4 linked regions of the Ovis aries genome follow. The protein of the gene in region 1 purifies or fractionates together with the protein of each later gene. This does not show direct contact. Links are inferred from orthologs where the notes say so. Each region holds a gene or a part of one and is shown in the gene's direction. Other genes may lie near its edges.

Region 1 (8,014 bases):
CCAAAGGACATTCAGTGATAACTACGTAAGGAAAGGGCTTCCCTGGTGGCTCGCACGGTAAACAATCCACCTGCAATGCGGGAAACCTGGGTTTGATCCCTGGGTTCGTTCAGTCCCTGGGTTGGGAAGATCCCATGGAGGAGGGCATACAACCTACTCCAGTATTCTTGCCTGGAGAATCCCCGTGGACAGAGAAGCCTGGTGGGCTACAGTCCATGGGGTCACAAAGAGTTGGATATGACTGAGGGACTAAGCACAGCACAGCATTTAAGTTAATTCTCCATGATGGAGAATATTCAATGAAATATTTTAAATTCTTTTGTCTTTAAAATCAATGTGTTAAGAGTCAGACATGACTGAGCAACTGAACTGAACTGAACTGAATTAGCCTCCAATTAAAATTAATAAATTGAAATTAAAAAATTAAAAAATTTTAAAAAATGTGTTACACTTATAGCATATCTTAGTTCAGACAAGCCATGTTTCATATGTTCAGTAGTCACATGTGGCTAATGGCTACTGTGTTGGACACCATGGCCCCAGATGATCTCATCCAAGCCCTCACCTTAAAATGCCACCTACATGCTGATTATTTTCAAATTGATATTTCTTGCATGAACCTCTCTTCAACTCCTGACTCAGATAACCAGAGCTATACTTGACATTACTCCTCAAATACCTAATATATGCCTCTAATTTATCAAGTTCAAAACTGAACTCGTGGTCTCCTCCAAGTTTACTCTTCCCCAGTTCAGTTATTGGCAACTCCATCATTTCAGTTGCTCAGGACAAAAACATTAGAGTCAACTTTGACTCCTCTTTTTATCTCAACTTTCATATGCAATCTGCAACTCCTGTGGCACTCTTAGTTCCCTGTTTAAGATATACCCAGAGTCTAATTCACTACCACTACCATTGTCCAAACTCCTAGTTATCTGTTGTCTAGATTATTGCAATAGCATCCAAAATGATCCATAGTCCAGTCTGCTCTTAGCCAGATGTCCTTTAATAACATAATCCAGAACATTTCACCTATCTGCTCAAAATTCTCCAATGGCTCCCAGGCTCACTTAGTGTAAAAGCCAGTCCTTAAGGACCTTCAGAACTCTACAGGATCTGGCCTCCTGTTACTTCTCTGATCTCATCTCCTACTGTTTCCCTCCTTGCTCACTCTACTCTAGCCACCCTTGCCTCCCGCTCTTATCAAGACAGTCATGATCTAGCTTCAGGATCTTTAGACTTGCAATATCCTCACCTATCTCCACGGCTCACTCTCTCATTTCTTGCAATTCTTTGCTCAGGTATCTTGTCAGGATATGATGTGAATGAATGATAGGACTTGAATAGTTGCCAGAAGGAGGTGTTTGAGCACTAGCGCCACATATTTGCCCTTCTAACAGAAGTCAACATGCAACTTTCAACCTTTACTGAGCACCCATTATATATTAATATAAGACGAACATGTATGATTGGCTGGTCTTAGTAACAGGAAACACTGAAATGATCTTATTCCTTTAAAAGATTCTTGAACATTTTCAGCGCATACTGGAACAAATATTTCTTGAATGTTTTCAGCACATAGTGGAACAAACAAGTGAATTCCTTAGTTATTGAAAAGCAGCATCTATTAACAAGCAGGAACAGACATCTTGTCAGATATTATAGGGCTTCCTCCTCCTAGACAATCAGAACCGACAAACACAATCCCTCTGTCCAGGCAGTATTTAAATCACTGCACTATTAGAACACTTAGTTCCAGACCTAGTTTTACTCTCAGCTTGGCGGGTGACAATAAATTATCTCTTTTATTATTTGAATTATTTATTTCCATGATAAAATGCTTAATCTCATCCACTTCTCAATTCAGGTTAGGAAAACAGGACAATATATACTTGGGTGTTACAAGCTGCCACAATTACATATGCATTACAGGGTCTGAGAACAAAAAGTCTTTGTCTTAAATCTAAGAATGTCTGCTGCTGCGGCTAAGTCGCTTCAGTCGTGTCCGACTCTGTGCGACCCCATAGACGGCAGCCCTCCAGGCTTCCCCGTCCCAGGGATTCTCCAGGCAAGAACACTGGAGTGGGTTGCCATTTCCTTCTCCAATGCATGAAAGTGAAAAGTGAAAGTGAAGTCGCTCAGTTGTGTCTGACTCTTGGCAACCCCATGGACTGCAGCCTACCAGGCTCCTCCGCCCATGGGGTTTTCCAGGCAAGAGTACTGGAGTGGGGTGCCATTGCCTTCTAAGAATGTCTAAATCGGGACTATTCAAAACTGGTCTTCCGTTTGTGGTAGATTTAAGATCTTTGCTTTTCTTCTTTTTCCTTTTTTTAACCCAAATTTCACTCAACACCACTTGTATGATTTAACGCATAGCTTATTCCAGTTCACACATACTAGTTTTTCAGTCCAGCCTAACCCAAAACAAAGGAGAAACATGATCAACTAGAGAAATTAAAAAGTGTAGTTAGTTCATCCCAGGAATAGATTTGAAGGTAAGATGATGGGGAAGAAAAAGGAAGTAATGAGGGAAGATATGAAAATAAAGGAAGGAGAGTCATGCTAAAATTATTAAAATGGCTCAATTCAATCCAACAAGTGTTTATTGAGTGCAAAGCATTTCCCTGGTCTTTTTAGTAATGCCAAGGTGAGCAAGACAATCTTTGCCATTAAGGAGTTGGGAGTAGGAGGTGAAGTAAGAAGGGCAGCTGCTGCTGCCGCCGCCAAGTCGCTTCAGTCGTGTCCGACTCTGTGCGACCCCATAGACGGCTGCCCACCAGGCTCCCTCGTCCCTGGGCTTCTCCAGGGAAGAACACTGGAGTGGGTTGCCATTTCCTTCAATGCGTGCATGCATGCTAAGTCGCTACAGTCGTGTCCGACTCTGTGGGACCCTGTGGACAGCAGCCCACCAAGCTCCTCTATCCACAGGATTCTCTAGGCAAGAATACTGGTGTGGGCTGCCATTTCCTTCTCCAATTAAGAAGGGCACAAGTTGTTATTAAAACACAGAGTACATAAAGGAAATACAGGGAGAAGAGAACTGACATTAAGGATATTTTGATATGCCAGGGGGAGTCACATACGTTAACTCACATATGTTAACAAGCCTTCCAAAACTTCCAGGTAAGCTAGAGGAGGATAGGTAACTTGTTCAAGGTCATTTAAGTGAAAAAGTCTACACTGGCTTTGTCTTCAACCCAGGTTGCAAAGCCTAGAGCCTTTCAGGGCACCATAGCTAAGGGGAAGCTCGTGGGAGGAGATTGAGTTAAGACAGGAGGAAACAAAGAGATCAGAAAAGCTATTCAGGGCGGCGAGTGAGGTGGGCCTCGAAGATGAACAGGCGATTGGGCAGCCTCATGTGAGGAAAAAGGGAGGCACTTTCGGCTCAGGAAGGAGTGAAGGCTACTGGCCGCCCTGCCAGTCCTCCGGGTTGACCAGTCAATCTAGGCTGAAAAATTGTCATCCGGTGGCTCACTTCTCCAACCCAATCCCTTCTTCGCCCCCGTCTTTTCCTTTGGGGCTTTTCAGCGTTCACCAGTTTCAGCGTTAGGCACCTGTACTTTCTCCTTTGCTCTGAAACTGGAAAAATCTCAAATGTTCTAAAAAGGACCACTGAGTCCCTTGGACGACGGTGGGGGTCCGACCGGCGCTCCTGACACAGCGCCCTCTCTCCCACCTCCTCAGCCAGGCCTCCACCCGCGGAGCGGCATGCGCCCCGGGGAAAGCGTGCTCCCCCGAGAGCCGGGTTTCCGCCAGTGGGCGCGGCGGGCGGGAGGCCGGGAGGGGGTCGCCGCGGTGGCCGCGGGGCCGGCGGGGCCGCGACGGGCGGGGCGGGGCCGCGGCGGGGCGGGGCGGGGCCGCCGGCGCACCTGCCCGGCGCGGCGGGATTCGCGGCGGCTGCGCAGACGACGTGCTCCCCCCTCCCGTTCCGCCGTGTGTTTACGTGGAGACGAAGATGGCGGCGGTGGTGACGACGCGGCCCGTGCGGCTGAGGACGGTCAGCCAGTGAGCGCGCAGCCTGGTTCCGCTCCGGGAGGGGCGAGCGCCCGGCCCGGCCCTGCGCCCTGCGCCGCGGAGCTTGCGGTCCCACCCCCGTTGGAACCGACCTTGCCTTCCCGTCCCCGACCCCCTGCCTGTGTTCCCCCCAGCCTTCCCCGCAGAAGCTATGGAGGACGAAGAGAGACAGAAGAAGCTGGAGGCTGGCAAAGCCAAGGTGAGAGAGCCGGAGGCCGCCCGGCCTGCGCTGGGAGGCGGTGGCCGGGGAGGGCTGGCAGGGGTCCTGCGAGGCGGAGGCCTCAGCTTGGCAGCCCCGGCGCGCTGCCTGGGACGGAGGTGCGGCGGCGTCTGCCGTCGCCTTGCCCTCGTCTCCCTTTTCTAATTGAAAAAGCCTGGTGAGACACTACCTAGCGGTTATTTCCGTGATGACTGGGTGGTGTGGCTCCTTTCTCGTGAATGCCCACATAAAACCTCTCCTTTTTACTGTATAAGCTGTTACAGCTTGCTTCTGAATCTCCAACCTTTGACTTGTTTTGAGGGAGTTTTCTGGGTTGTGCAGACATTGTGCTTTTCAGGGTGGGGATTTGGGGCTCTTCTTTATTCGGGTGGGGATTTGTACGCTCATCATCGGCTTGGCTTTCTTAGGTGGCACGCTGGCACTCTTGAGTGTGTGATTGGCCTGTGACAGCTGCCTCAGTCGTGGCTTGAGTGTGCCACAAGTGCCAGCTGTGAACTTCGCTGTAGGGGCGTTTTTAGAAGCATGGCTTTGTATGTTTGTGTTCGGAGGTCTTTGTCACGGCATGCGCCCTGTATTGTGTGGAATGTTACCGCAGTCTGTGAATGGAACTTACGGGGACGAAAGGGTCCATATTCCTAGCATCACCTATAGAATTCTTGCTTTCTTGTCGAGTCCCTATCTTGTATGTGTGTATGAAAAAGACTGTAAAGGAAACAATGGAAAAGGTTTTATTATTCACTGGGTTTCATGAACAATTTGACATAGACGAAATATAAATTAAATATAAATAGAATATTAATAATATTAAATATTAATACTATTAAAAGAAATAGAATTTAAAATTACTTGCTTGAGCATATTTTTTTGACTGGCCAAAAGGACCCCTTCCTCCCTATGATGAAATTACAGTTTACTGTATATTGTTTTATTAGAGATGATTGTTCACAGTCATACTTGCATCTCAATTAAATTATAAATAGTTTAACTGTTTCTTTTCCTCTCTGTCTCCTCCCTCCAAATAAGCAAAAGGAGACTGGGTCTGATTTCAGTAATCACTGAAGAACCACACTGCAGAGATACAATTGTAGATGCTGAACATAAGTTTCTTGACTTAATATAAATGTATAAACTATCTCTGTATTATCTAAGGTCAAACCTTAAGTGTTTGTATCAGGTAGATTGTTATTAGGATCTATACACAGGGAAAGGAAATCAAGGCATCTTTAAGATCTCACGTTGCTTACATTTCTGCAGTCTTGAGGATCTGAGCACAATCTATGAATCGAAGAAAGTGGAGGAAAAGTGTGTACCTCCTTCCAAAAGCATTGACGTTGTAGTTAGACGTTTTGTTTGTTTGCTTGTTACCTCAGTATTTTTACTATCTGCCTCCTGAAGTATCTCTCCTAAATATATATGAAGCCGTCCAAAAAACATAGTTTACTTTGGACAACACCTCTCATAACAGAGGACTTATTTAAATTGCTTTGGTTTGGCGAAAAAGAATTCTAGTTTCTTTGTGTGTATGTGTGTTTTTTGTCTTTCAAAATTCTGCCTATGGTATAAAAATCTTATCCTTTTAACATTCACTTTCATTGTGGAAGATTATCTTCTAGAATTGAGCTGAATTTTTCTAGTCAGAAAAGAATTCAAGACATGTAAGGCAAGATGTGTTTGCTGGAGCATTGGCACCAAAATATAAAAACACTGGGCAACCTCCAAAGACAGTGTTAGGAGAATCACTTTCTAAACTATATTATTTAAGCATGATAGAATATTTTTCAGCCATTAAGGTTACGAGGGCTGATAGGAACATGAACAGTAAGAACATGGACATAGTTCGAAAATAGTGTATACATTACTTCTTTTGTATAAATGTATGCTTTTATATTAGGACTTAAAAACTTTGGGTTGTGAGTGTAGGGTCGTTACGCAAACCTGTGTCAAACTCCTGTTTTACACCAAGCGCTGTAAATACAGAGATGGTGACAGTCTGTTTTCTGAAGTTGCTCAAAGTTTAGCAGGACAGATACTGGGTACTAAGTACAGTGAGGGAGGTGGTATTATAGAATTTGTGGCGAATTGTGTCATTTGTTAAAATGTGTTAAATGTTGCTGCCTCATTTTTAAGACTATTTTACAAAGAAGGTTCTTGATAATTGATATTTAATGCAGTCTAGCCTGACACCTATCAGATAGTAAGTATGCAGTAAATATTTGCTTAGTGAATGAATGAGCAGAGTGACCGTGAGCTGTTAATATGTGCTGCTTGACTAGCATATTGTAATTTAATAACAGTAATTCAGAATTCTTGTCATTGGAAGTCTCATTGCTGGCATTAGAGATCACTGAAAACAACCATTTCTAAAACTTTATTCAGATACTTGGTTCTCTGAATGTCTTGTTTGTTCATTGAATTTAAATACTGTATTTGCTAATCTAGTTTTACAGACCACAACTTGGAAATTTTCTTCTTGGTGTTTGGTAAACTATTCATTGAAAAACTTACTTCCTTTCTGTATCTATAAATGATCATTTTTAAAATGACCTGTTGTGAATTCAGTATAGTATACTTTATAAAATGTGTTACACCAACCAAAATTCACAATGTTAGAAGAATAAATTTGGTATGTGCGCTGTGCTTAGTTGCTCAGTCATGTCTGACTCTTCGCAACCTCACGGACTGTAGCCCACCAGGCTCCTCTGTCCATGGGATTCTCCAGGCAATAATACTGGAGTGGGTTGTCATGCCCTTCTCCAGGTGATCTTCCTGACCCAGGGATCAAAGCCAGGTCTCCCACATTGCAGGTGGATTCTTTACCGTTTGAGCCACCAGGGAAGCCCAAATTGCCATATATGTAGCCATCAAAATAATTCTGCAGAAACATTCTGATTTGGGAAAATGCCCACAAATAACACCAGATTGATAACAATGTTACCAAAAAAGATATATATACAATTTTTATATATGAAGACACCTGAAAAAAAATACACCAAGATATAAATGATGGGTATCTCTGGGTGGTAGGTTATAGGCAGTTTTAATTTCCTTTACACTCCTAGTATTTTCCAGATTCTCTGCAGTATATTTCCTTTATGACCAGTAAAAATGTTTACATGCCATTTTTGAAAACAGTAAAAGCTTATCAATTATAGTATGTTGAAGAGAATGTTAATATTGTTTGATCGTTATACAGAACAGGAAGATGAGCCCTAGGGTAACTAGGCTTCCCAAGGGCCCTGGCATCAGTGTAGTTCTGGAACTACAGTTCTTACTCCAGTGCTGTTTCCATTCTGTAGTTGGGATTCTCTGTTATTAGACATTTATATATCTCCTTTCTGGTTTTGTAGATCTTATGCTTTTTCTCTGTCGATTCTCATTGCCATGAACATGCCTATCTCCATCTAACCTGCCTCCTCCCTTAATTTGCTGTTTTAGATTTCCTGTGAGTAGCTTGAGGGGATGGTTTCGTTTGTAACAACCAAGCACTGATGGAGCCTTGTGAATGCGCTTTATGACTATTTCGTTTCTCTGCTCCTTGTTGGTTTTTTCATTTGCTGTTGGGTCCTCAATTACTTCCTCAGTACTGAGGTAGTAAGACGCATGACCTGTGGAGACATGAGACATTACTGCATTAAGTAAATATTTTCAGAACCAGGCTAACCTCGTTGCAAGGAGCTGACAAGGACAGCGCTACACAGGCCGTCCTTGTGTTGATCCAGACTTCTAACTCCACTTGAAGTGACTTCAGTTTTTTCCAAGTAAAATTATCTACAATTTTTT
Region 2 (7,478 bases), on another chromosome or scaffold:
CACCAGCACATCCCCTACCGTGAGAACAAGAACCTCACTGGGACGGCGCGGTACGCCTCCATCAACACACACCTTGGCATCGGTGAGCCCTCCCGCCCTGGCTGTCCTGCAGCCTCTTGGGGCCCCTGAGGGTTGGTTGTGGCACATTGGGTATGGAGGCTGGCACCAAACCTTCGTAGCAAAGGCTGGCATCTGGGCCTGCAGACCTTGTGAGGCGTGAGGGACAGCATGTGCTGGGGCTTCCTAATGGGTGGCAGTGCATCTCCTAACGGCACAGCAGGGTTGCTTCTGCAGAAGCAAAGACTCCACGTGTCCTTCTCTGAGGCTCTGAGTTTATCCCCAGGCAGCATCTGTGGGGTGTTGCTGTGCATGCTCAGGCACACCACCCTGACCTGCTCTCCTCTCTATCCAGAACAATCTCGAAGGGATGACCTGGAGTCTCTGGGCTACGTGCTCATGTACTTCAACCTGGGCTCACTGCCCTGGCAGGGCCTGAAGGCTGCTACCAAGAGGCAGAAGTATGAGAGGATCAGTGAAAAGAAGATGTCCACTCCCATCGAGGTGTTGTGCAAAGGCTACCCTTGTGAGTGTCTGGTGGACAGTCAGCCAGTTGTAGTTCTGTGGGAGGGCAGGGGCCTGTGAGGTCTGGAAGAAGGACTAGGGAAGCCCCCCAGAGGCTGGCTGTCCAAAGCCCCCTCAGCGCCCTGCATAGTTAGGGAGCTGAAGACTGGGCAGGTGGCCTCCCCTCCGAGTGGCCACAGCCTCTGTCCCTGGTGCTCCTCTGCCTTCCTGAGCCATAACTCAGGGAGTTTTCCTTTTGTTTTTGTGAGACTTCTCCTGGGATAAGTGTCTCCGATGAAGCTGTTATGCTCTGTGGTGCTCAGTTTTCTCATCCTCTTTCCCCAAAGCATGCCTGATGTTTCAGGCTCCAGCATTCGCAGCCTCTCTCTGTGGCCGTGAGTGGTCAGAGGTTCTGTGGACAGACACCATTCTGGCTCTCAGGCAGGAATACTGCTGGTTACCTCTGAATCTTCTGGTGTTTACAGCTGAATTCGCCACGTACCTAAATTTCTGCCGTTCCTTGCGTTTTGACGATAAGCCTGACTACTCATACCTGAGACAGCTCTTCAGGAACTTGTTCCATCGCCAGGGTTTCTCCTATGACTACGTGTTCGACTGGAACATGCTCAAATTTGTAAGTGTGCCCCCAGCTCACTGACCACTCAGCATGGAAGGGGCTTGCCTGTCAGCAAAAGGCTGCCAGCTGCTGCCATCCCTTTCTGGGAGCTATAGGCGGTGGGGCTTCAGGAGGCATGGCTGCCACATGGGGAGCACAAGGGGTTCTGAGAAGCAAAATGCCAGCGGGCAAGCCAAGGAGGCACCTCAGGGCCACGATGGAGTCCACAGTGCAGGTCTGCCCAGACCAGGGCTCTCATTTGAACTCTGCGGTCCTCAGGATGTTGTGACTGCGCTGGTCTGTGAATTCCTTGTCAAGGGGATGTGACTCCCACCGGGCGGGGTGAAGACATTCCCCTCCTCCCCTCACCTGGCTGTGCTGAGGCCCAGCCTCCCAGGGGTTGGGTGGCCTGGGAGGTACCGTGTCTTAGGTCTCCGTGTGGCCTTGTGAGGAGCTAGACCTACCGTTTGGTTTCCTTCGTCACCCAGTTTGTTCATTATTATGAGCCCGTGTTTGTGTGCACGTGCACTGTCGGGGCTCGGGGTGGGATAGAGTGGGAGCTTGGACTTCAGTTTGTTTCCTCTAAAACAGGCCACCTGTCTCTGAGTCTGTTGTAGGCGTTTGTTTAATCTTTGACACTACAGCCAGAATCCCAGTTTTTTGTTTTAATTTGCACTTCCTCTTTCATTAAAAATGTGTTCTGTGAGCTTAAAACAAAAATTGGCATGTTTCTAGGGTGACAAAATCTGATGGAGGAACAGAACCTCCTCCTCAGAGTGCAAAACAGGAAGCCTTATCCCGTGGCCTCACGGGTGCATGGGTGCTCACACGGACCAGATCAGGGCAGAGAACCACAGCCTCCTCAAGCTGGTGCCAGCCCACAGAGCCAGCGTGCCCTGGACCTGGCCCGTGCCATCCTGCCAGACCTCTTTATTAGGATGGCCTTCGAAGGACAACCTTCGGGGGCAGTGCTGCAGGTTCCTTGGAGTCTGCACATCAGGGTGCACTTCCTGCCAGAGCCACTGTAACAAATTCTTTGTTCTTACATCGTCACCCTTTACAGGGATTCGGCAAACCTCTTCTATAAAGGGCCAGACAATAAATGGTTTTATCTCTGCCATCTGTATGGCATTGTGACCGCTCGACTCTGTGTTGTGTATAACTGGACAGCCGCCAAAGCAGTGCGTCAGTGAGCAGGCATGACTGTGCCAAGAAAACTATTTGCACAAATGAGTGTGGCTGCATTTGGCCCATGGGCTGCAGTTTGCAGATTCTTGCCTTACGGTGCTGGTGATTAGGACATAACCTTTACTAGGACAGGTACCCTGGCGTCACCACTTAAAATCCAGGGTCCCTGTGCTTCTCCCTGAAAGTGTTGACTAGCTGTTCTGGGAGCAGCTAGTTTAGCTGAAGTGGTGCCCACTGCCTCGCCACCTGGGACGAGCCTGGCGGCTATTCTCGTCTCATGCACACTAGCAGGATGACTCGAGCCAGGCGTCTGGGCTCTGGTTAGACTCTTCAGCTGACCAAATGCAGTGCTTTCTTTCTGCCTGTCGCATGGGTACCTTCCCCCAGCTGTTGCCACGTTGGGCCGCCTCTGACCTTCGCTGGTTCCCATCCCCACATGAATAATCGCAGAGATGAGGGCTGCCAGATGCTGTTGGTGGTTGGGTTCTGAGGAGTGATAAGGCGAGTGGGTAGAGGTTTCCTCTGCTGGGAAAGGAGACAAGCCTGGTTCCGCTCGCCCTCGGTCGTGGGACGGGTCAGGCGCGCCCCTGGAGGGAGGAATGCCTGACTTGTCAGAGGTTGCAGACTTCGGGGGGGCCTGTTACACATGCCCCCGTGTTTTTTCGAGTGGTGGCCAAGGGCCTCAGGTGGTTTTTCACCAAACCCAGTTCAGTTCTGGTGTCGCCCTCTTTCCTCCATAGGGAGCCAGCCGGGCAGCTGACGATGCTGAGCGGGAACGCCGGGACCGAGAGGAGCGATTGAGACACTCCCGAAATCCAGCCACCCGCGGCCTCCCTTCCACGGCCTCGGGCCGGCTGAGGGGGACACAGGAGGTGGCTCCTCCCACCCCCCTCACCCCTACCTCACACACTGGTGAGTGGTCCCAGGGCTGCAGCTCACCCTGGTCCCCGCGCTGCAGGCAATAGGGGTTCTATTTTGTGTGTCGCTTGCTCCGGACACTCCAGTGTGTGACCTCATGGGGTCTGGGCAGTGTGCCTTGTGGGTGAAGCGTGTGCGTCCTCGTTCTGTTCATTTCTTACTTCCGAAATTAGACACGCCAGGGAACCACCTGGGATAGTGCCTTCCATAATATCTATTTCTCAGAAGTTGGCCTGTTGAAGGATTATGTTCCCTGTGAGCTCTGTTGCTTTGCCTCTTGTTCTCATGACACAACATTTAGCCTCTTCCTTGCCTGTCAAGACAGGCCTTGTAGGCAGAGGCCCCAGCCACCCTCCCACTAGACTCCTGGTGCTTTACTCCCAGGGATCAACCTGTGATGCCGGCCTAATCTTAGGGTGCAGTAAGCTGTCCTGTGCCTGAAACTGAGGCAGCTGAGGGTCCTTGTTAGACGTGGTTTTCAAGGAGAGACCCTGTGCTGGAGTGTGGGGCTGCATTCTGAGGCCTCACGCTTGCCCCTGTCTCCCTCTCCTCCAGCGAACACCTCTCCTAGGCCCGTGTCCGGCATGGAAAGAGAGCGGAAAGTGAGTATGCGGCTGCACCGCGGTGCCCCGGTCAACATCTCCTCATCTGACCTCACGGGCCGGCAAGACACCTCCCGCATGTCCACCTCACAGGTACGCACCCCGTGGGCCAGCACCTGAGCTCGCCCAGGTCGGGTGCTGTGGGCCTCTGACTTTTCCACGTTTGGTCTGGTCTTATGGGCTCCAAGCAGAGTGAGGTCATAGTTTCAAAGGCATTCCTTCTTTCCTTCCTTCCCTTTCTTCCCATATTCTGGTGTTTTAACTGATGGGGTAACGTTGTACCCCTCAATGCAGCTTGGCCCCTTGGTTGAGAGCCTCCTTGATGAGCTGTGTGAGGTAAGGGCTCTACACCCCTCCCCTCAGGCTGTGCTGGGACGTGCCACAGGGCCCTCTCTCTCCTGCTGCCCTCCACATGACTCCCAGCCCCCGGGCAGCCTTGGAGCCTTGGCCATCTTCCCTGTGCAGGCTGGTGCTTCCAGCCTGCTCACACCATTTGTTGTGGGCACATCCAGCCTTGAAGACTCTGTCCTCGATCTTGTTGACCAGCTGTTCCCCCAGCAGAGTGCCAGGGCAGGGGTGGCAGGGATGGTGTGTTGCCGGCCGTCACTGCAATGCTGTGGGCAGAGGCCTTCTAGAGCCCAGCGCTTGGCAGTGTGCTTCGGGGCGAGGGCTTCTGTCTTCTGGTGCCCCTTCTGATGTCTCTTCTGTCTGGCGCGGCAAGTGTGCTCAGAGGTGCAGGGCCTGGTCCCAGGGCCCCCCCTCCCCCCGTGTCCTCTTCCCACTGTGGCTTTCCTCGCTGTCCTTCTGTGCTTGCTACCGTGCCTCCCTCAGCAGAGCAGCTCTTTGCCCACATGCGAACGTTTTTCCTCAAGTCGCGTCAGGGTCTCCTGCAGTCAGGGCAGTAGGGGCAGACAGGGGTCAGGAACAACCCAAGTGAACCATTTCTCCTGCTTCAGCCAGTGTCCCGTGGGAACTGGGACTACCCCCTGGTGTCTTCTCGATGGGCAGGTGGCGGGTTGAGGAATGTCCGAAGCCCAGGTCCCGGCCGTGTGCTGGGGCAGCGGCCCTGTGCTTCACCGCGATGCCTCACGTTTACGCTTTGCGTCCTGCCCTCCTCGGTGCTTTCTGGGCAGTGGGCGTAGAACGTTGGTGAATTTGGTGGATCGAGCATTTTGTGAGAACTCCCAGAACCTCAGTCCTGTGGCATCCAGCTGATCTTGTGGCAGAGGAACAAGGTGTGCCCAGGCACACTTTAATCAAGTGAAATTAATGTTTCTGCCAAATTTACTAGTAATTTACTAGCAAGTCTACTAGAAATGGGTTTTTCTTACATGGTAACTTTCTGTAAGAGACTGAAGATGCAGGTAGTTCAAATTATGCGGCTCAGTGGGTCAGTAATGAGATTGGACCTCTGAGGACTCCCAGCCCCACAATCGTCCTCTGTCACCACAGGGCACAGAAGGGGCTTAACAGGTTTCTTCCCACAAGCCCTGGAATGCATGAGCTAGCAGTTGGAAGCAGGTCCCTGGAGGTGTTCACCATGCCTGGCCAGGCGGGCCTGGTAGAGGGCTCCAGAACACCTCAGCCAGCAAGAACAAGGAAGGGGCAGGCTAACTTCTTTTTTAACACAAGAAAACGTGTTTTGCTTTGCGGATCATTGAGGGAAGTGGAAGAGGCTGAGTCCTGAGAGTGCCAGGCAGTTATGGGTTTTAATCTAGCCTCTTTGCCACCTTGTGTCCATCTTCATTCAGCCCATGACCCCTGAACGTTGACAACACACAGCTTCAAGACCTTTCCTGTAAAATCTTTCCATCACAATTGCATGTCTTTGCCCCCTGGTTCTCTCTGCTTTCCATACGAAGAGGAGGGCCTGAACAGTGGGGTGGGGGGAGCCAGTCTCTGAAGAGATTCAATTTGTGTGTGTCCCTTCCAAAAGAAGCACCCTAGTTACCCTGGGAGTTTCCTTATGATCTTCATGTTGAGGGCAGCTGGACAGCTCTCTCCTTCAGGTTTTCCTGATCATCCCCCAGGTGCTCTTCCTTAAGAGACTCTGAAAGACTGCTGACCACCAAGGGTGTGATCAGAGTTGCTCCAGCTTTTATGACTGTGGCCTCCATTCACACACCCCACCCCCAACCCCCACCAAAAGATGCAAGCAGGAATAGGGCCAATGACACACGGATCCAGGGGCCAGCACCACGTGTGCACCGAGCCCGGCCTCCTCTTACCAGCTTCCTTTCCTCAAGGAGAGGTTGCATCCTGCGCCAGTGTACCTAGGCCAAGGAGGTAGCTCATCGTCAGCACACAAGCGCCTGGAGCCACTCGGCTGCTTGGGGGACGGCCCTGCTGACCCTCTCCAGCTGGGGGTGGGAGGACGTGACACGTCCCTTGCCCTAGCCACCACTCCTCACCCCCTTGTCCTTCTCCAGGGACTACAGTCCCCACACCCCTGACCCCAGCCTGCGAATCTGGCCTCTGTTGCTGGGATGTCATAGAGACTGAAAGGCTTCTGGCGGCTGAACCTGTGTGTGATGTTTCTCTTTGTAAGAAGTGTCTTTTTCATCCAGTGCTATGAATAGAACATAATGCTGACCCGTGGTGCCAGTTTTTCCTTCGGATGGGCTGACTTGTTTTAATTCTGGCTCTCCAAATAAGGTCCGCAGCCCTGTCCTTTTCCGTGTGTCAGTGAGAAAATACATCCAGTTCTTGTGTCACGGGGAGGTGGTGTCCTCTCCATCTCCCGAGCACAAGCCTCAGGAGCCCCTGATGCCAAGAGCTTGTGGAGGGGCTGTTGTCCGGGCATCCAGTTCTCTTACTGCTTGAGGAGTTGGGAAGGATCTCCCTCATTGGCCTCCCTGATGGATCCATCCTCGAGGAGCAGGGGCCACTCTGGAAAGGTGGGACCCAGTTCCTTGTGTGGTCCCGGGATCCCCTCGAGCAGCCCCAGCCAGGGGTCCTGGACCTGGTTGAGGCAAGGCAGCACTTGTGGAAACAGGAGGGCCTTACATGCTGGTCCAGCCAGTGGAACCCTTACCAACAGCTGTCTTTTCCCCCCACCTCAGAATAGCATTCCTTTCGAACATCACGGCAAGTAGCTGCACGTCTCCCCGTCGGAAGGCAGCACTGGGTGAGTGTGCTCACGGCGGGGCTCCTTGGCAGGCGCCGGGCCGGGTGGGAGCTGCCGCCCACTCGCCGGCCTGAGGGAGCACGCAGTGGGTCGGGCTTGCATGCCAGGTGCCCCAGGTAGAGCCAGGCCCCGGCCCAGGTCGTCTCCTTACGTGGATTCCAGAGCAGCTACGGTGGGCTCTCCAGTCTGGGATGACCCCAGAATCCTTTCCGTTGGCCTTTGGCCCTCGCCGTGGTCTCTAGTCGGGAGCTGGCATGGGGAGCAGGAGCCCAGTCTTGGCTCCAGTGGCCCCAGAAGGCTCGGGGCCTTGTGGTCCCAGGTTGGTCGCCGGACGTGTATTGTATTGTGCTGGCTGTGGGGGCCACGCTTGGTGGGGCCTCTTGCGCTCTTGCTGCGTGAGACACTCCTGATGGTCTCTGCTGTCCTGGCTTTGTCATCTCTCTTCCTTTAGCATTGATTTCTGTCC
Region 3 (7,478 bases), on another chromosome or scaffold:
TCCCTGTTGTATCTTTGTGTTCTTCTTAGTTGCTTGGCTAAGTTTCAAGCCGAGGGTTTTACTTATTTTGCTCTCTCTCTGCGGATGCCTGTAGCCCAGCGCCTCGTGGGAACAGCCTACCAGGTCGGGCCGGGAAAGCAGGGAGGCCTGGAAGCCACGCCCCGCGTCTGGAGAGACAGGGAAGGGGACGAGGAGCAGCAGGCTGCCCACGAGCCTGGTCAGCATTCACCCCCTGTGCCTGCTGACCAGCTGCTGTGTGCCGGGCACCATTTGGGAGTTTCATGTGAGAACCAGGACTGGGCCCTGCAGTGGGCATCTTGGGGCGTCTTCACTGTCCCCGTTAACAAAGGAGGAGGGAGGTTGGGGTTTTGAAAGAGAATTGGTCCAGGGCCACCCGGCTGGTAGGTAGGTGGACGAGTCGTGGCCCGCTGGGTGTCTGTCCGAGCGGACAGTCTGTTTGTCTGACACTTTTCTACCAGGCAGTGGGCTAGGCTCTGGCGGTTTGGCCTCAGAGGACACAGCCCTGTCCAGGCTCTGGGGAGACCCAGAGCCTGGGCTGTGGGCCCTGTTCCCAGTGGCGTACGCTTCCCGAAGCCTCCAGTCAGGGTGCTGACGACATGCTCCCAGGTTTCCAAGGGCCCTGGGCTTTGAGGAGAAAGCCACTCTCCCGGGTAATCAAGTGCCCCTTAGCTGCATTGTAGGGAGGTCCAGAACTTCAGTGTTTCCTGTAACGTAAATCAGTGGCCCTGGGGACTGCTACTGTACAGCAAAGAGATTGAATTATGCACAGAAACACCCTTTTCTACATTCTTTTCCATGGTGGTTTATCACAGAATTGTGGATACAGCTCCCAGGGCTGTACCCAGGACCTTGTGTTTATCCATTCTGAATGTAGCAGTTTGTATCCGCCAGGCCGGAACTCCCCGTCCAGCCTTCCCCCTGCCCCTCCTCCCTGTTCTCTGTCTGTGAGTCTGTCCTGCTTCACAGACAGGCTCGTTTGTGCTGTATTTTAGAGTCCACTTAGGAGTGACGTCACAGGGTGTGTGTCTGTCTCTCTCTGACTCACTTAGTGTGATCATCTCTAGCTGTGTCCAAGTTGCCGCAAGTGGCAGCATCTTGTCCTTTTTACAGCTGAGTAGTATTCCATTCCGTATACGCACCCCATCTTTATCCATCTGCCCATAGACATGTAGGTTTTTTCCGTGCTTTGGCTACCGTGAATACTGCTATGCAGTGATTTTTAAGTGAAAAAAGAAAAAACAAAACTCCTGCTTTGGAACCTTATGACGGGCTCCAGAGCAGACTGCAGAGCCGCGTGGCCGTGCTGGCGCTGAGCTGTGAGACTCGCTGTGTACTGGCCCAGGTGCCCGGGAGTCAGCCCTTGCCTCTGCGAAGGCACAAATTGCTGTAGCTGAGGAACATTTCTGAAGTCAAAATTTTGAGAGTCAAGTGTCTAAAGGAGCTGTAAGGTTGTGCAAGTGGGAGTGTGAGGAGGACAGCTCCTAGCTGTGATGGGAGTGTGTGTGTGCGTGTGCGTGTCTAGACAGCAGAGGTGGCCACAGTCTGTATCACAGAAGGACACTTGTACGGGGCTTCCATTTGTCTTTGCCTCATGATTACTTATGGAAAGTCATCAGAACTGATCTTTATTTCCATGAGTGAACATCACTTCTGCCATGAAATTCCATTATCAGGAGGTTGTTAGAACAGAGCTATTTCCTTGCCTTGGAGTGTGACTCATAGGAAAAAAGTCTTGTTGAGCTTTCTCCCTCTGTCTCTCTCATACACGTTCAGCCAGCAGGACTCCCTGAGTCCCTTCTCTGTCCCAGGCCCCAGGCCAGACCCTGGAGAAGCAGAGATGAATGACATGGTCCCCACCCTGAAGGCCCTCAGAGCTAGTGATTATAACACATCTTGTGCAGTAGAAATGCTCTGTTAGGAATGCTTTCCTGAGGTCACGTAGCAGTGGCTTTCTAAAATTCAGAAGTTTATTTTATGGTATTTGCATCGTGAGCAAGGACAAGAATGGGCTTACAGCCACGAGGAGCAGCTGCAGAACCCAGAAGCTGGATGAGACAGCCTGACAAGGACATGCGTACGCCTTTCCTTCTGCGTGGTCTCCTTGGTCATCTCAACCAGCGTACCCTGCTGCCTTGCCCACGTTTCCCCAAGTCCACAAGCCTCTGCTCACGTGTCTCTCCTGGAATAGGCGTCCTCTCCCGTCTTTGAACACCTTCAGGAAAGCAAAGCATAATCATATTGGTTGGTCTCCCTCACTGCTATGTGCCAGACATTGTTAGCCTTTTTGCGGATTCTGTCCCATTGGATACTAAAGACAAAAGCAGAATACAGGGTGCTCTCTCCCTTTTGCGGATGAAGCTTCTGAGGCTCAGAGAGGCTAAGGCACTTGCCTAAGGTCACACAGCCATTAAGTGATTAGAGCCTTCGTGTGAAACCAGATCCGTTGGCTTTCAGAGACAGTTGTTTCTCCTATGTTCTGCTGCCTTTTACGTAGGCAGACAGGTGCTTGTACTCAGCTGAGCTTTCCCTTGGACGGCAGGCAGTGTGGCGTGTGGTTAAGGACGGATGCTCTAGACTCAGGCCTGAGCTTGAAGCCTTACAACAACAAACGAGATACTGCTTGGGGAAACCAGAGCTCTGGGCAGTGAGCTCTCACCTGAGTCTGTGCAGCCAGCAAGCGGCCCCACTGGGTGTGAGCCCCCTCTGCTTTGTCTTCAAAGCTGTGTGTTCTTCCTGCAGCACCACCCTGCCTCTCACAGGAGTTTGGCTGCAAACGTGGGGATTTAAACTAGCTGTAAGGAGATGTTTCCTGGCAGGATTATGAGTCAGCCAAATACCTCCTCGCTGTAGGGGACATCACGGCATCTCCCAGAAGCTGGTAGACATGGAGACGAGGTGACTTCTCATCTGCCGAGGATTTCAGAATTGCTCGTCTTTGATGTTACTTCACTCTTTGTCCAGCGTTTGTCCGCCCTTCATTCACGTCTGGTCTGGGCTGGGTGCTGTACGAGGCGCTGAGCATGTGAAGATGAAAGGCCAGTTCCTGCTGGGAAGGAACATGCAGCCCAGTAAGGGAGAGGAACCCAGTAACTAACTGCCGTGTAAATAAATGAATGAGCCAGATGTCCGTCCTGTGCCGGCACCCGGCACCCGGCACGTGATCATGTCTGTTTTGGGTGTTACGTGTCAGGTACCATGGAAGCGCAGTGGGGAGTGACTGTTTGCATAGTTTGAACATCGGTTCACAGAGAAGGACAATCAGATTTGGGTGCTGAAGGATGAGTAGGAGCTCGTTGAGCGGGAGTAAAGTAGGTGGCCAAGGGGGAACAGTGCATGCGGAAGCCGGGAGGCATGAGCAGCCTGCTGTATGCAGGGAATGATGGTTGCTTTAGTAGGGAGCCTGCGTAGGGGGTGGCTGAACGTGTCCCTGCAAAGGTTGCCTGGAACTTGATCATGGAGGGTCTCAGATACTGTGAGAAGTTTGGACTTAATCCTCAAGATGGTAGGGGGCTGGGTGAGGTATAGGTGGGGTGGTTGGTTATCAGGGTGTAATTCACTTTTTAGCACAGTAGCTCTGAGGAGGAGGCTGGATTGAGAAGGAAGAGGGAAGGACTCGAGCCAGAGGGGCTTGGCAGGAGGCTCCCATGGTCTCTGCTCGGTGGGGGCTGTGAGCCAGGGCAGAGGGCTAGATTTCAGCAGTGGAGAGACTGACATAAACGTGGTTTGATTTCCAGGCTCTGAAGTTTACCAGCCAGATGACCCTGCCATCTTGCCACCAGGCGACGAGGACCCCTCTGAAGACTTCCCAGCTACACACTTGAGTTCCAACAGTCAGTTTTCCACTAAAATCAGTGTGGTTGGGACTGACCCGCTGGAGAGCACTGATACCTCCAACGATAAAGAAAACTTAGAACGGAAAATCTGTGACCTGGAAACGGAGCTCGAGGGCTACCGGAGCTTCATCCTGCAGCTGCAGAGGCACTCCCGGTTCAGCGAGGCCGTCATCACGGTCTTGTGTGGGACGGAAGGGGCCCAGGACGGCTTGAGCAAGTCCAAGGGCAGTGCCGACGAGGAAGAAATGACCTTCTCGAGTTTGCGCCAGGTCCGTTTTGTGAAGCACATGAAGATCCTCCACCCGCTGGGGCCAAAGATGATGGACGGCGGGCGGCCGGAGAGCCTCGGACAGCAGCTGGTGGGCCAGGAGTGTGAGCTGCAGCAGGAGCAGAATTTGAACGTGGAGCTTTTCGGTGGAATCCATAACCTGCAGAATAAGATCAGAGACCTCTCGTCCTCCAGGTACGTCCCACCTCTGCCTTTCCCCACGTTGCCACTAGGTGGGCGCCCCTGACCTGGGAAGGGGTGCTGCCCTGCAGGGACCTTGGGCATGTGCCAGGGAAGTCTTTCAAGGCCCGGCTGAGGCAGTTCCTCCTTGGAAAAGACGCTGATGCTGGGAGGGATTGAAGGCAAAAGGAGAAGAGAGCAGCAGAGAACAAGATGGTTAGATCACATCACCAACTCAATGGACCTGAATTTGAGCAAACTCTAGGAGATACTGGAGGACAGGGGAGCCTGGTGTGCTGCAGTCCATGGGGTCTCAAGAGTCGGACATGACCTAGCCACTGCACAACAACAGTAACAGTAGGGCAGCTACGCCTTCGGGGAGGTGGCGTGGGAGGCCACGGAACCTGGCGGTGTCCACACTCGGCCTGTGCCTTCGGGAATTGGCCGAGCAGGTCTTGTCCTCCTCAGGTCGGGGGGTGCAGGGTGAAGGTTTTAGACCGGCCACTTGGTGAGTCATAGTATGGTTGCTAAATGGCAGTGTTTGCTCCTGACCCTGTTAAGGGCTCTTACTGTCCTGCAGGGGAGGGGGTGGGGGACACGGAAACTGCTGTCCTAGGCAGGGTGGGGAGAAAATAATAGTGTCTGTATCTCTACCCTTTAAGGCCATCTCAGAGAAATAAGCCTGTGTTGAAAGAGAAGAATTCTTGGGTCGTGAAGACATGTTTTATGGGCTTGGAGACACACAGTTTTGCTTCATGAGATCTGACAAGCATGGGGTCATTTGTAAAGCTGACCTTCACTCGTCACTAATTTGAGACAGACACGTTGTTCAGAATTGTCAGGAGCCAAAGTGCGTTTTTCAGGGCTTCCCATGCAGTGTGATTGAAGGCAGCTGGTGTTTATTGAAGGGCAGCCTTGTCAGACCCCACGTTACGCATTGTTCTAACTGAACCCCCACAGCCACCTGAGAAGAGGTGTTCTCAGACCCTGTGTTTGTAGACGAGGAAATGGAGCCTCAGAGAGGCTGCCGTGCCCGAGAAGGCGGCCCGGGAGGGTTCGTGGAGCCCAGGGTTTGTCTCATTCGTTAAACTGGCCCCATTTGCGGTGTTGTGGTCACGTGACCTCTCTGCTCACGTGGGCTCGAAGGTGGTCACTGCTCATCATTTCAAGGGATGTAGTGAAGCGAGGGGTCGGGGTTTCTGCCCAGCCACTCTGGGGCCACCTTCCTGCAGCTGCAGTCGGTAAGGAAGACGGAGCCCCGCTTCCCTCCACTTGCGCTTTTCTCAGCGTCGGCGGATCCTCGCGGGCTCACACGGGCAGACGGGCTACCCGAGGCCGTGACGCCTGGTTCAGTTAGGCTTTGAAGGCGGAGCCCTATCAAGTCACAAACCTTCACCATTTAACCGACTTTGCCACCTCTAAGAGGCAGTTTTCTCTCCTGTAAAGGGAGATATTCGTGCATTTGTTACGTGCGAGGAATAGGCAACTTATGAAACACGCCTACTTCCGGGGCTCACCGGCCTCGGTTCCCCTGTGCGTGGCCGTCAAGGTCAGAGTCGCCTTGTGGCCCTCCCTCCAGAGCTCAGTCCTCGTCTTGTTTTCTCGCCTTCAGTTTCCTTTTTGTTTCTCCTGAGGATTTGTGCTGGCTCCCCTGCCCGTTGGCGCGCTCGTTTCTACAAATTTCGAGTAGTATTTTTAAAGAGTGAGTGGAAACTAATCGTCCTCCTGAGTCCTTGCCAGTCTGCACTTTAAGTGGGGGCTTCATAAAGGTTAAAAGTGTTGCGGAAGAACCTCTGTTCCAGGCTTTGTTGGCTGTTTTGAAATCGAAAGAGTCGGGACCTTGCGTAGTTGCAGTTGTTCCAAAAGTATAGGTACTTGTACAGCTGCAGGCTTTTCAAAATCCTGCTTTGTCAGTTTTCCGATTAGCATTAAGGTCACAGAAATCCAGTTCTAAAATGGGTGCCAGCGTTTCCTTTTCCCTCCTGTATCAGGTACGATTCGTTAGTTCAGGCCCAAGCCAGGGAACTCTCCCTCCAACGACAGCAGATAAAGGACAGCCACAGCATCTGCGTCGTCTACCGCCAGCACGTGAACACCATGATCAAGGCGTTTGAGGAGCTGCTGCAGGCCAGCGACGTGGACCAGTGCGTGGCCGAGGGCTTCCAGGAGCAGCTGCACCAGTGCGCGGCGCTGCTGGAGCAGCTGGAGACGCTGTTTCTCAAGGGTGAGTGAGTCCTAAGATGGATCAGGCACTGGTCCAGGACTTCTCGGAGGGGCCCAGGGGGAACCGGCTCCTTGGCCTCCCCTTCCGCCCCCTGCCCTGACGAGGTGATGGCAGAGCCCTACTAGCTGCTTCCTTCCAGTGCCCACTGCCCCGTGGTTGGCAGTCTGCCCTGTTCCAGACCCGGGGTCCGGTGGAGGGGCCTCGGGCCAGGCTGGGAAGGCATGGCCACGTGGTTGCCAGAATTTTCAAGAGGGGATAGAAGCCCAGGTTTGGCAGGTGAAGACTCGCGGATGGTAAGTGCTGGGGGCAGCAAACAAACGAAGCAAACAAGAAAACCCAAACTTTCATTGGTTAAAACCGATTTAAGCGTCAGAGGCGGTCTGAGGAGAATGGAAGAAAGCCTTTGCCAAACATTTGCTATGTGCTAGGTACTTTAATGGATGTTCTTACATTACAGTTCAAAAATAATAACTTGCATTTCTTTGAGGCTACAGCAGACATCTTCCACATAGTTCAGTTCAGTCGCTCCGTCGTGTCCGACTCTTTGTGACCCCATGAACTGCAGCACTCCAGGCCTCCCTGTCCATCGCCAACTGCCAGAGTCCACCCAAACCCATGTCTATTGAGTCAGTGATGCCATCCAACCATCTCATCCTCTTTCGTCCCCTTCTCCTTCCACCCTCTATCTTTTCCAGCATCAGGGTCTTTTCAGATGAGTCAGCTCTTTGCATCAGGTGGCCGAAGCATTGGAGTTTCAGCTTCAGCATCATTCCTTTCAAAGAATATTCAGGACTGATCTCCTTTAGGATGGACTGGTTGGATCTCCTTGCAGTCCAAAGGACTCTCAGGAGTCTTCTCCAACACCACAGTTCAAAAGCATCAATTCTTCGGCGTTCAGCTTTGTTTATAGTCCAACTCTCACATCCATACATGACCACTGGAAAAGCCGTAG
Region 4 (7,987 bases), on another chromosome or scaffold:
CTGGGACCACGGCCAGTCTCTCCTGGCACATCTGGAAGGGGCAGCCAGGCCTCCCGGAGAGCATTAGGAAGGCCACATGGAGGACTTTGGGGCCATCAGCTATATCCAGGCCAGACTCGGCCCCCAGGAAGGAAGGGGCTTCTGGTCTTTCCTAGCCCTGGCCCAGAGGGTCATCTCCCCTCTACTGCCCAGGCCTGAAAGAACCTGGTACTTCAGTTCTTAATTCTTTCTGTCTTGTGTCCTTTCTCTCTTCTACACACACTATATATTCCACCTGCGGGCCATTGTGCCACCGTCATCCCAGGAGTGCCACTGACCCAAAACTTTTCCCACAGACCTCCCTGGCCTGCCTTGAGGCTTTCTTGGTCAATGCCTGGCAAGGCTCCAACCCTGCTGGGCCAAAGGCTCTGCCATTCATTTCCCTTCCCAACCATCTGAGCAGAGCCACCCAGCTGCCTGGAGTCCCAGGCCAGGAGTCTTGGTAGAAGATAGACTCGGACACAATTTCTGTCCTTTTGCCAGGATGATTTTTTAAGACTTTTCAATTCAGCAGCCCTCTGGAAAACTCTGTTCCCAAAAAGGTGATCAGCAGGATGCTGAGGTAGATGGCTGACTCTCCTTTGGGTCACAGCCACCTTCCTCTTGCCTCCCAACTGGATCTGGCTTTCCCTGGAGGCTGCCCCTTGGAGACGGTGGTGCGTTGGAGGGGCCTGCTGTTCTGTCTCAATATTGGTGTCAGGACTCCTCTGCTTCTGGCTGCCTTGGTCTGCACTCTGCCAAGACCTCATGTTCTCAGGCCACAGTGCAGACCAGGGGAGCAGTAGGGACCCTGAAAGCCCTCCTTCCCCTGCCATGCTCCTCACCCTCACCCCTGTTCCCGCGCTGCTACGTGGATGCTGTTGTGATTGCAGTTTGTGTATTAAAGGGTTTTTATATTAAATGTTTGGTTGATCTGAAAATAAAAAGCACTTCATCTAGATTCTTTCTGCTTTTGTCTCCAGTAGGCTGAGGCGGTTTTGTCTCTCTCTCCTCATGATGGGGGCAGTGGGGGGGGCCCTCTTGCCTCAACCAGTAGGTTGACTGCCCCTTTCTCTCTTACTCGCTTCTTTTTATTGTCTTGTCATAGTTTTATTCCAGACTGAGGTCCAGGAAGATTCTTTTGTCAAAACTTAAGCAACCCAGCTGTTCTGTAGATAGAGCATAACCAGTGATTGTTCAGACTTGTCATGACCTTGACCCACCAGAAGAAATTAGCATTGCTCTCTGAGGACCCACATATCAATACGTGTATTAAATTTTACTTAAACTTACTTTGTAACTCCACATCCCCAGGTGAAGTGGTGAGCCATTTCCCCATAATTCACAGGAAAACCCAGACTTCTCTCCTTGAAACGAAGGTGGACTTAGGAACATGGGTCTAGATGGCTCCTGGGTGGGGTGTACAGGTCATACCAGTCCAGGCTCAGAGCAGCCAGCTGGCTTGTAGAACTGAGACCAGTCAGCCTCCCCAAGCTGAGGGAGGCTAGCTCATCCAGTTCCCTGCCCCTGGCATCACTTCCTGTTTGGGCTTTCCTCTACCTCAGTGGTTTCAACTGGGCAGCAGTTTTGCACCCAGCCAGGGCACATTTAACAATGTCTAGAGATGGTTTTGGTGGCAGGTGGCACTAGTGATAAAAGAACCTGCCTGCCAATGCAGGAGACTTAAGAGATGAGGGTTCAATCTCTCCCTTAGGAAGATCCCCTGGAGAAGGAAATGGCAACACACTCCAATATTCTTGCCTGGAGGATCCCATGGACAGAGGAGCCTGAAGGGCTCCAGTCGATGAGATTGCACAGAGATGGACACGACTGAAGCGGCTCAGCATGGCAGAGATGGTTTTAGCTGTCACAAGTAGCAGAAGAAAAGCAGGCTCTACTGGCATGGTGAGGGGGGTGGGGGGCGGCGGGATACTGCTGAACACTCTACAATGTACAAGGCAGTGCCCCACCCCCAGCCCAGCATAGACTGAGCCAGACCCGAATGTCACAAACGTGGCGGTGGGAAACTGACCGTCCTCACTCTGTCTGTATTTAAAGGCGACCCTGAAGGAAGAGGGGCTTTCCAGGTGGTAAAGGATCTGCCTGCCTTTGGAGGACACACAAAAGACGCAGGTTCAGTCCCTGGGTTGGGAAGATTCCCCTGGCAGAGGAAATGGCAACCCACTCCAGTATTCTTACCTGGATAATCCCATGAACAGAGGCGCCTGATGGGCTACATTCCATGGGGTCACAAAGTCGGACACGACTAATTATGCACGCACGCACGCTGAAGGAAGAGGCATCTTGCTACTCTGTTTCAGGAGATAAGGTTCCTTTTGCACTGCCCAGAGGGAATCCTCAACCTGGCTGTGCCCCAGATTCCTCATCTGTAAAATGGGAATGATGATAATAATACCTACGTGAAAGGAGTGTGGTGCGAAGTAATGTATGTAACAAGTGCCAGCTCTTACTGGCATGAGGCCAGGGTAGGCACCCAGCAAAGAGGTGTCTACTGAGGGCCCCACTCCCAGAGCCCAGCATCCTCCTGAAGCTCCTCCAGCAGGGTCCCATCCTGGACCCAACCCTGCTGCTGCTATCCTGCGCCAGGCCTTATGAATGACGACGGCCGGCAGCCCGACGACCTATGACCCGCGGCGCCTGCCGCGCCCCTCCCCCGCTTGGCAGGTGGACAGCGGCTGCGCCGGGGCTGGGGTTGGGGGGGCCGAGGCGCCAACCTTGGCTGGCCCGCAGCCGCTGCCGCACTGAACGGGGGCGGGGGACTGCGGCGCGCACGGGGCCGGGCGAACGCCTGCCTGGACCGCCTCCTGGGCCTCGGAGCGCTGCGCGGCCGCCGGCCAGCGGCCGCCGGCGCGCCGGGGCAGCAGACTGCGCCTCCGCCCCGCCCTCTCACCCAGGGATTGACACTGAACGTTCTGCCGGGGCTTGCCGGACAGCGCGCCTCCACCAATTGGTATCCTCGCTGGGCGGACCCCGGACCCTGTCGGAAGCCTCCGCCAATCAGACGTGTTAGCCCGCCCGGTTGGGGTCTCGCAAGCGCTCGAGTGGCCAAGCGTCCTAGGAGCGCGTCATGAGGCCGAGAGCCTATGGCAGCGCGGGAGGGTCGCGAAGGGCCAATGAATGGCGGCGCAGCGCCGTCAGTCAGGGCGGCCTAGGCCAATGAGCTGCGGGCTGCGGGGGCGTCACGGACAGCAGCAGCGGACTTGGGCTGAGGTTCCCGGGCGGGCGGGCGCGGAGAGACGCGGGAAGCAGGGGCTGGGCGGGGGTCGCGGCGCCTCAGCCAGCGCAGCCAACCCGAGGGGCCGCCGCCGCCGCCGCCCAGCGTGCTCCGGGGCCGCGGGCCGCCTCCAGCACCCGCCGCGCCGCAGCTCCGGGACCGGCCCCGGCCGCCGCCGCCGCCGCGATGGGCAACGCCGCCGCCGCCAAGAAGGGCAGTGAGCAAGAGAGCGGTGAGTGCCCGGGCCGTGACCCCGATCCCGGCCTCGCGCTGCCAGCCTCCTCCCTGTCCATCACTGCTTGGCCCCTCCCCCCACGCCCCCCCCCATTTCTCTCTGCTTACCCCCAGGCGCCCCTTCCCCCTGCCTGTCCAAGGTTGGGGCCCGGGGCCCGCAGAAGACCTCGTAGGAACCCCGTTGCCAAAAACCGCCCCTCCACTGCAAAGACTGTGCTCCCCCCTCAGCTGTCACTGCCAACCATGGCACGTATGACCGCTGGGCCCCCACATGGGGCCCTATCACCACCCCACTCCGTACTTTCCTGGCCCCTCTCCTTAGGTTCTAATCCCCCCCCACTTCCTCACTCACCTCTTCCACAGATGAGACTCACTGCCAAACCCCGACCCAGGCTTCTGCCAGCCTGGGAGTGCTATGGGGTCTGCCTCCGCCCAACAGGGACCTTGGCCACTTGGTGACCACACCCCTACCCCCTCCAGCCCCCGCCATCTTTCTCCTGCCCTTCCCCTCTTCACCTTATCACAGCCCCTCTTCAAACCCACCCTTGAGCATTTCCCAGAGCCACTTCCAGCATTGTTTTTCCCTTCTGTGTCACTTGGCATGGGGGACAGGCTCTTTCTGGGTCCCTCTGCCCCTCTCTCATCCTGTCACTGTCACTGCTTCTCTGCTTGTGCTTCCTTCTCCAAGCAAGCGTCTGTCCCTGGCCGGGGTCGCACACTGTTTGTGAACCTAGAGAACTGCTTCTGTGCTTGCGAAGCCAGGTTTGAGCCAATCGTGCTGGAACTCCATGCGTCCTCTTCCTTGGCTTTGGGGGTGAGGGGTTTCAGCAGAGAGCCCCTTCCCATCTCCTGCTGTGCAGTGAGCTCTAGGCTCTTTGGAGGGCCCCTCAATAAATGGTTGTGTCACAACTGAGGCTTGATCATTCACCCAGTCCCTCAGGCTTCTTTACCTGCTCCTGGCTTGGGATGAAAAGTAGGGGATTAAGAGTGAGTTTACCAGGGCTCATTCAGCTAGAGCTGGGATGGTGAGAAAGAGGACTCAAGGGATGACAGTTAGGAAGAGTAGTGGGTGACATCTAATGACTCGCTTTGCCAAGAGACAGATTCTGATCATCCCCAGGGTTCACCCAGAGGTGGCCCTGTTTCCACCTTAAGCCCCCAAATCATATAGGCCTTTTCCAGCCAGCCAGGGAAAGAGATTCTGTACCTGGAAATGCCTTCAGAAATGGTCTTGAGCTCCTTCCTCAAGTCATCCAGCTCTCAAATTGTCATCACTCCAGCCCTAAAGTTGGGCCTCAACTAGGATCCTTTTCCAGTTACCCAGAAATAGAGTTGAAAAGGAATGGCCACATCCAAATATGCCTTTCCCAGTTATTTGTCTCAGATCCCAGTGTCTGAGTTCCCTGAATGCTCCCTCCCAGAAAGACCCAAGCATGGAAGCCAGGGAACTTTATTTCCACCCAGATTCAAATAGCAGAACTTATAGCTGCTGAGCAGCCATGGAGAAGCCTGACATGTCACTGATGGGCGGGGGAAAGGGAGGCAAGTGCCTGTAGCTGAGCGCTTGATGACAGAGGAGCAGGTGGGTAGTGACCAAAAATGGTCTGGGCATGAGCTTGGAGGGGATAGACAGAAGGGGAGGGGCTGGGCCCCCAGCAGGTGAGGCCCGCCCAGAGGTAGAAGGTAGAAGCAGGCAGTTGTATATTTCAGTGACTCAGTTGAAAGTTGGGGAGGTGCCATAGTCCTGGAAAACTTTCAAGGCGTATCAAACACATGCAGTGGAGAGAGGTGGGGTGGCAAAGCCACACAGGGAAAAGGATTCCCAAGAAAAAGATCAGAAGCTCCAGAAGGAACCGCTAATTCAGAGTACAGGCTGGACAGCCAGGAAGGGACTATCAGGATAAAATAGAGCCACTATTTACTGGGCAGCTAGGATGTGCCAGGCTAAATGGTCTTCATAGATCTTTCTGCTCAAGTGATTTTTCATAACAGGCTGTTACCTGAATTTTACAAATGAGCTCTCTGAGTTTGACATAGATGATGCCACAGAAGCAGGATTCACATCCATTTCCATCTACCAGCCAAATTCCTGGACCCCAGAATTTCCCAACTCAAAGCTGCCCCCCTGATTTTTCACTATATTCACTTCTATTTTGTTAACGGAAATAAAAATTTTGACTCACTTTTGTTCAGATGTAAGTTTTGATCTGTCCTGAGAAATAATATAAATGAAATCATGGGATTGCTATACCAGTTATATTCTCTCTGGTACACCTTAAGATACAGTGTAACTAGAAAGGCAAAATATCCTTAACATCAGTTCGTCCCCAGCCAGTGGGACCTGGTTACACTTTGGGAAACACCCTAAGCTGTACTTCCTTCCAGAGATTTGCAGGGGCTGTTGGAGAAGGAGACAGGATGAGTAAAGAAGCCCTTTTTTGCTTCAAAGCTCCTATTCTGAGAGGATGGAGTTAGGCAAAATTTGCCCTCTCCCGCAACTAGGATGGGGTGGGGGTAGGGATAGTAGCCAGGCCAGCCTTCAGGGGGCACCTGAATTTCATCTGCCAGACATCAGCCCAACTAGAGTAAGGAAAGTGCCAAACCTTAGTAGGCACCATTTGGCATCCTGGAGCCCCCTGTGCTGCCGTCTCCATGCTCGGGCAGGACAGCCTTGGCCTCCTCTCAAGAGGGCAGGAATTTAGAACCAGCCCGGGGATGGGGTGGGGGAAAGTGTTAGTCACTTATGTCAGACTCTTTGCCGTTCCATCGACTGTAGCCCGCCAGGTTCCTCTGTCCATGGGATTCTCCAGGCAAGAATGTGGGAGTGGGTAGCCATTCCCTTCTCCAGGGGATCTTCCCGACCCAGGGATCGAACCCGGGTCTCCTGCATTGCACGCAGATTCTTTATCATCTGCGCCACTAAGGAAGGGGGAAATCTGTACTCAAAGATGCCAGAGCCACTGGCAGTAGCCTGAGTATGATGCTAAGAGGGCAGAGGAAAAACAAGAGCAAGCCCAGGGCTCTGAACAAGCTAGAGGAATTGAGAGAGGGCAGTGGCCCCAAGAGGCCCTGGGGACGGGTGCCAACTGGGGGTCCAGCCTTGGCTGCCCTGGCCAAAAAGGTACTCCTAAGAGCTGGTCCATGGAAGAAGGTACAGGACTGGTAAGAGGAAGCCCTCCAGACCTCCCCCAACCCCTACCCCAGGTCCCAGAGACCAGAAGATTCATGCTCTGAGAATGAGAATTGCCCCCAAGAGGTCCATGCTGCTGCTGCTAAGTCGCTGCAGTGGTGTCCGACCCTGTGCGACCCCATAGACGGCAGCCCACGAGGCTCCCCCCATCCCTGGGATTCTCCAGGCAAGAACACGGGAGTGGGTTGCCATTTCCTTCTCCAATGTATGAAAGTGAAAAGTGAAAGTGAAGTCGCTCAGTCATATCCGACTCTTAGCAACCCCATGGACTGCGGCCCACTAGGCTCCTCCATCCATGGGATTTTCCAGGCAAGAGTGCTGGAGTGGGGTGCCATTGCCTTCTCCGCAAGAGGTCCATAGATGGGAAGAATTGTGGCCTTCATGACATACTACAGAAGCCTGAGAGGGCCAAACACCGTCTGTGCGTTGGCAGTTGTACAGGTGCCCAAGAGGGTCCTGCCAAGACAGTTTTTCCTTTAAGTCCACCTGGGCTTAAAGAAGCTTGAGGGTTCTCTGCCCCTCCCCTGCACCTACTGGCCCCCAGGTTGGGTTTCTTTTCCTGCCACTACCCCAATACTCCCTGGCTCCCCCTATAGGCAGGGCTCTGGTGATGAGCAGCTAAGCTGGTGCAGCAGGTCTCATGAGCCTTCCCAGCCACCGTAGTCCGGGTGCTTTGAGAGGAAGACTGAGTGATGGCTTCCAACCCCAACGATGGTGAGGCTGAGCCCTGTTGCTATAGCAACTTCCCAGGCACACTCTGACCCTCAAGTCAAGGAGGGATTACAGTAGAGTTTAGGGAGCAAGTGGAGAGGAAAAGGCTGTGGACCCCTGACTGGCCCTGGAAACCCTTCCTAACCACCCTGAGTGGAGATGGGTGGTTTAATTCAGACAAGGGGGTGGGGGGTGGGGTGGATGATCCACCCAGAGTGGGGATCTGACCCAGACCCAGGCAATGGGGTAGACCAGCTCAGTGATGGCATTCAGCTCAGAGTGGGGGGTTGGTCCAGCTCAGTGATGGAGTCCAGGTGGTACTAGGCAGTGGTCCAGTCCACTGTTGAGGTCCAACTCAGACTAGGGGGTGGCTCAGCCTAGGGCTTGGCCTTCCTGTCGCAGACTTTCCAGGAGGAGTCAGTTTCAGGGAACAGGGGATCCTGAGATTTTTTTTGGGGGGGAGGAGGTCTGAGCCTGGGATCCTGCCTCCTGCTGGGGCCCTGGGGGCTGTTTTCCCTGTGAGCCCAAATGGAATCTAGACCAGGGTGGAAGCTGGTACCCCTCCTGTGGGAAACAGGAGCAGGCCAGGCCTACCGTCT

The links.
Region 2: the proteins of AKAP9 (region 1) and CSNK1D purify together in Homo sapiens (affinity purification with mass spectrometry; 4 studies listed by BioGRID and IntAct, counting the BioPlex papers as one, with this or other methods). This does not show direct contact. The link is inferred for Ovis aries from reciprocal best matches to the Homo sapiens genes AKAP9 and CSNK1D.
Region 3: the proteins of AKAP9 (region 1) and CDK5RAP2 purify together in Homo sapiens (affinity purification with western blotting; 4 studies listed by BioGRID and IntAct, with this or other methods). This does not show direct contact. The link is inferred for Ovis aries from reciprocal best matches to the Homo sapiens genes AKAP9 and CDK5RAP2.
Region 4: the proteins of AKAP9 (region 1) and PRKACA purify together in Homo sapiens (affinity purification with mass spectrometry; 7 studies listed by BioGRID and IntAct, with this or other methods). This does not show direct contact. The link is inferred for Ovis aries from reciprocal best matches to the Homo sapiens genes AKAP9 and PRKACA.

Annotation. Positions count from the first base shown.
Region 1 is NC_056057.1:10,028,825-10,036,838, forward strand, and holds the start of AKAP9 (A-kinase anchor protein 9), read left to right. Parts: upstream 1-3,933; 5' UTR 3,934-4,165; coding exon 4,166-4,213; intron 4,214-8,014. UniProt on the Homo sapiens protein: Scaffolding protein that assembles several protein kinases and phosphatases on the centrosome and Golgi apparatus. Required to maintain the integrity of the Golgi apparatus. Required for microtubule nucleation at the cis-side of the Golgi apparatus.
Region 2 is NC_056064.1:50,125,151-50,132,628, forward strand, and holds part of CSNK1D (casein kinase I), read left to right. Parts: coding exon 1-82; intron 83-412; coding exon 413-583; intron 584-1,046; coding exon 1,047-1,195; intron 1,196-3,105; coding exon 3,106-3,277; intron 3,278-3,838; coding exon 3,839-3,978; intron 3,979-6,947; coding exon of another isoform or gene 6,948-6,980; exon of another isoform or gene 6,981-7,012; intron 7,013-7,478. UniProt on the Homo sapiens protein: Essential serine/threonine-protein kinase that regulates diverse cellular growth and survival processes including Wnt signaling, DNA repair and circadian rhythms. It can phosphorylate a large number of proteins.
Region 3 is NC_056055.1:3,073,038-3,080,515, forward strand, and holds part of CDK5RAP2 (CDK5 regulatory subunit-associated protein 2), read left to right. Parts: intron 1-3,755; coding exon 3,756-4,317; intron 4,318-6,293; coding exon 6,294-6,526; intron 6,527-7,478. UniProt on the Homo sapiens protein: Potential regulator of CDK5 activity via its interaction with CDK5R1. Negative regulator of centriole disengagement (licensing) which maintains centriole engagement and cohesion. Involved in regulation of mitotic spindle orientation.
Region 4 is NC_056058.1:9,911,581-9,919,567, forward strand, and holds the start of PRKACA (cAMP-dependent protein kinase catalytic subunit alpha), read left to right. Parts: upstream 1-3,429; 5' UTR 3,430-3,439; coding exon 3,440-3,485; exon of another isoform or gene 3,486-7,369; coding exon of another isoform or gene 7,370-7,391; intron 7,392-7,987.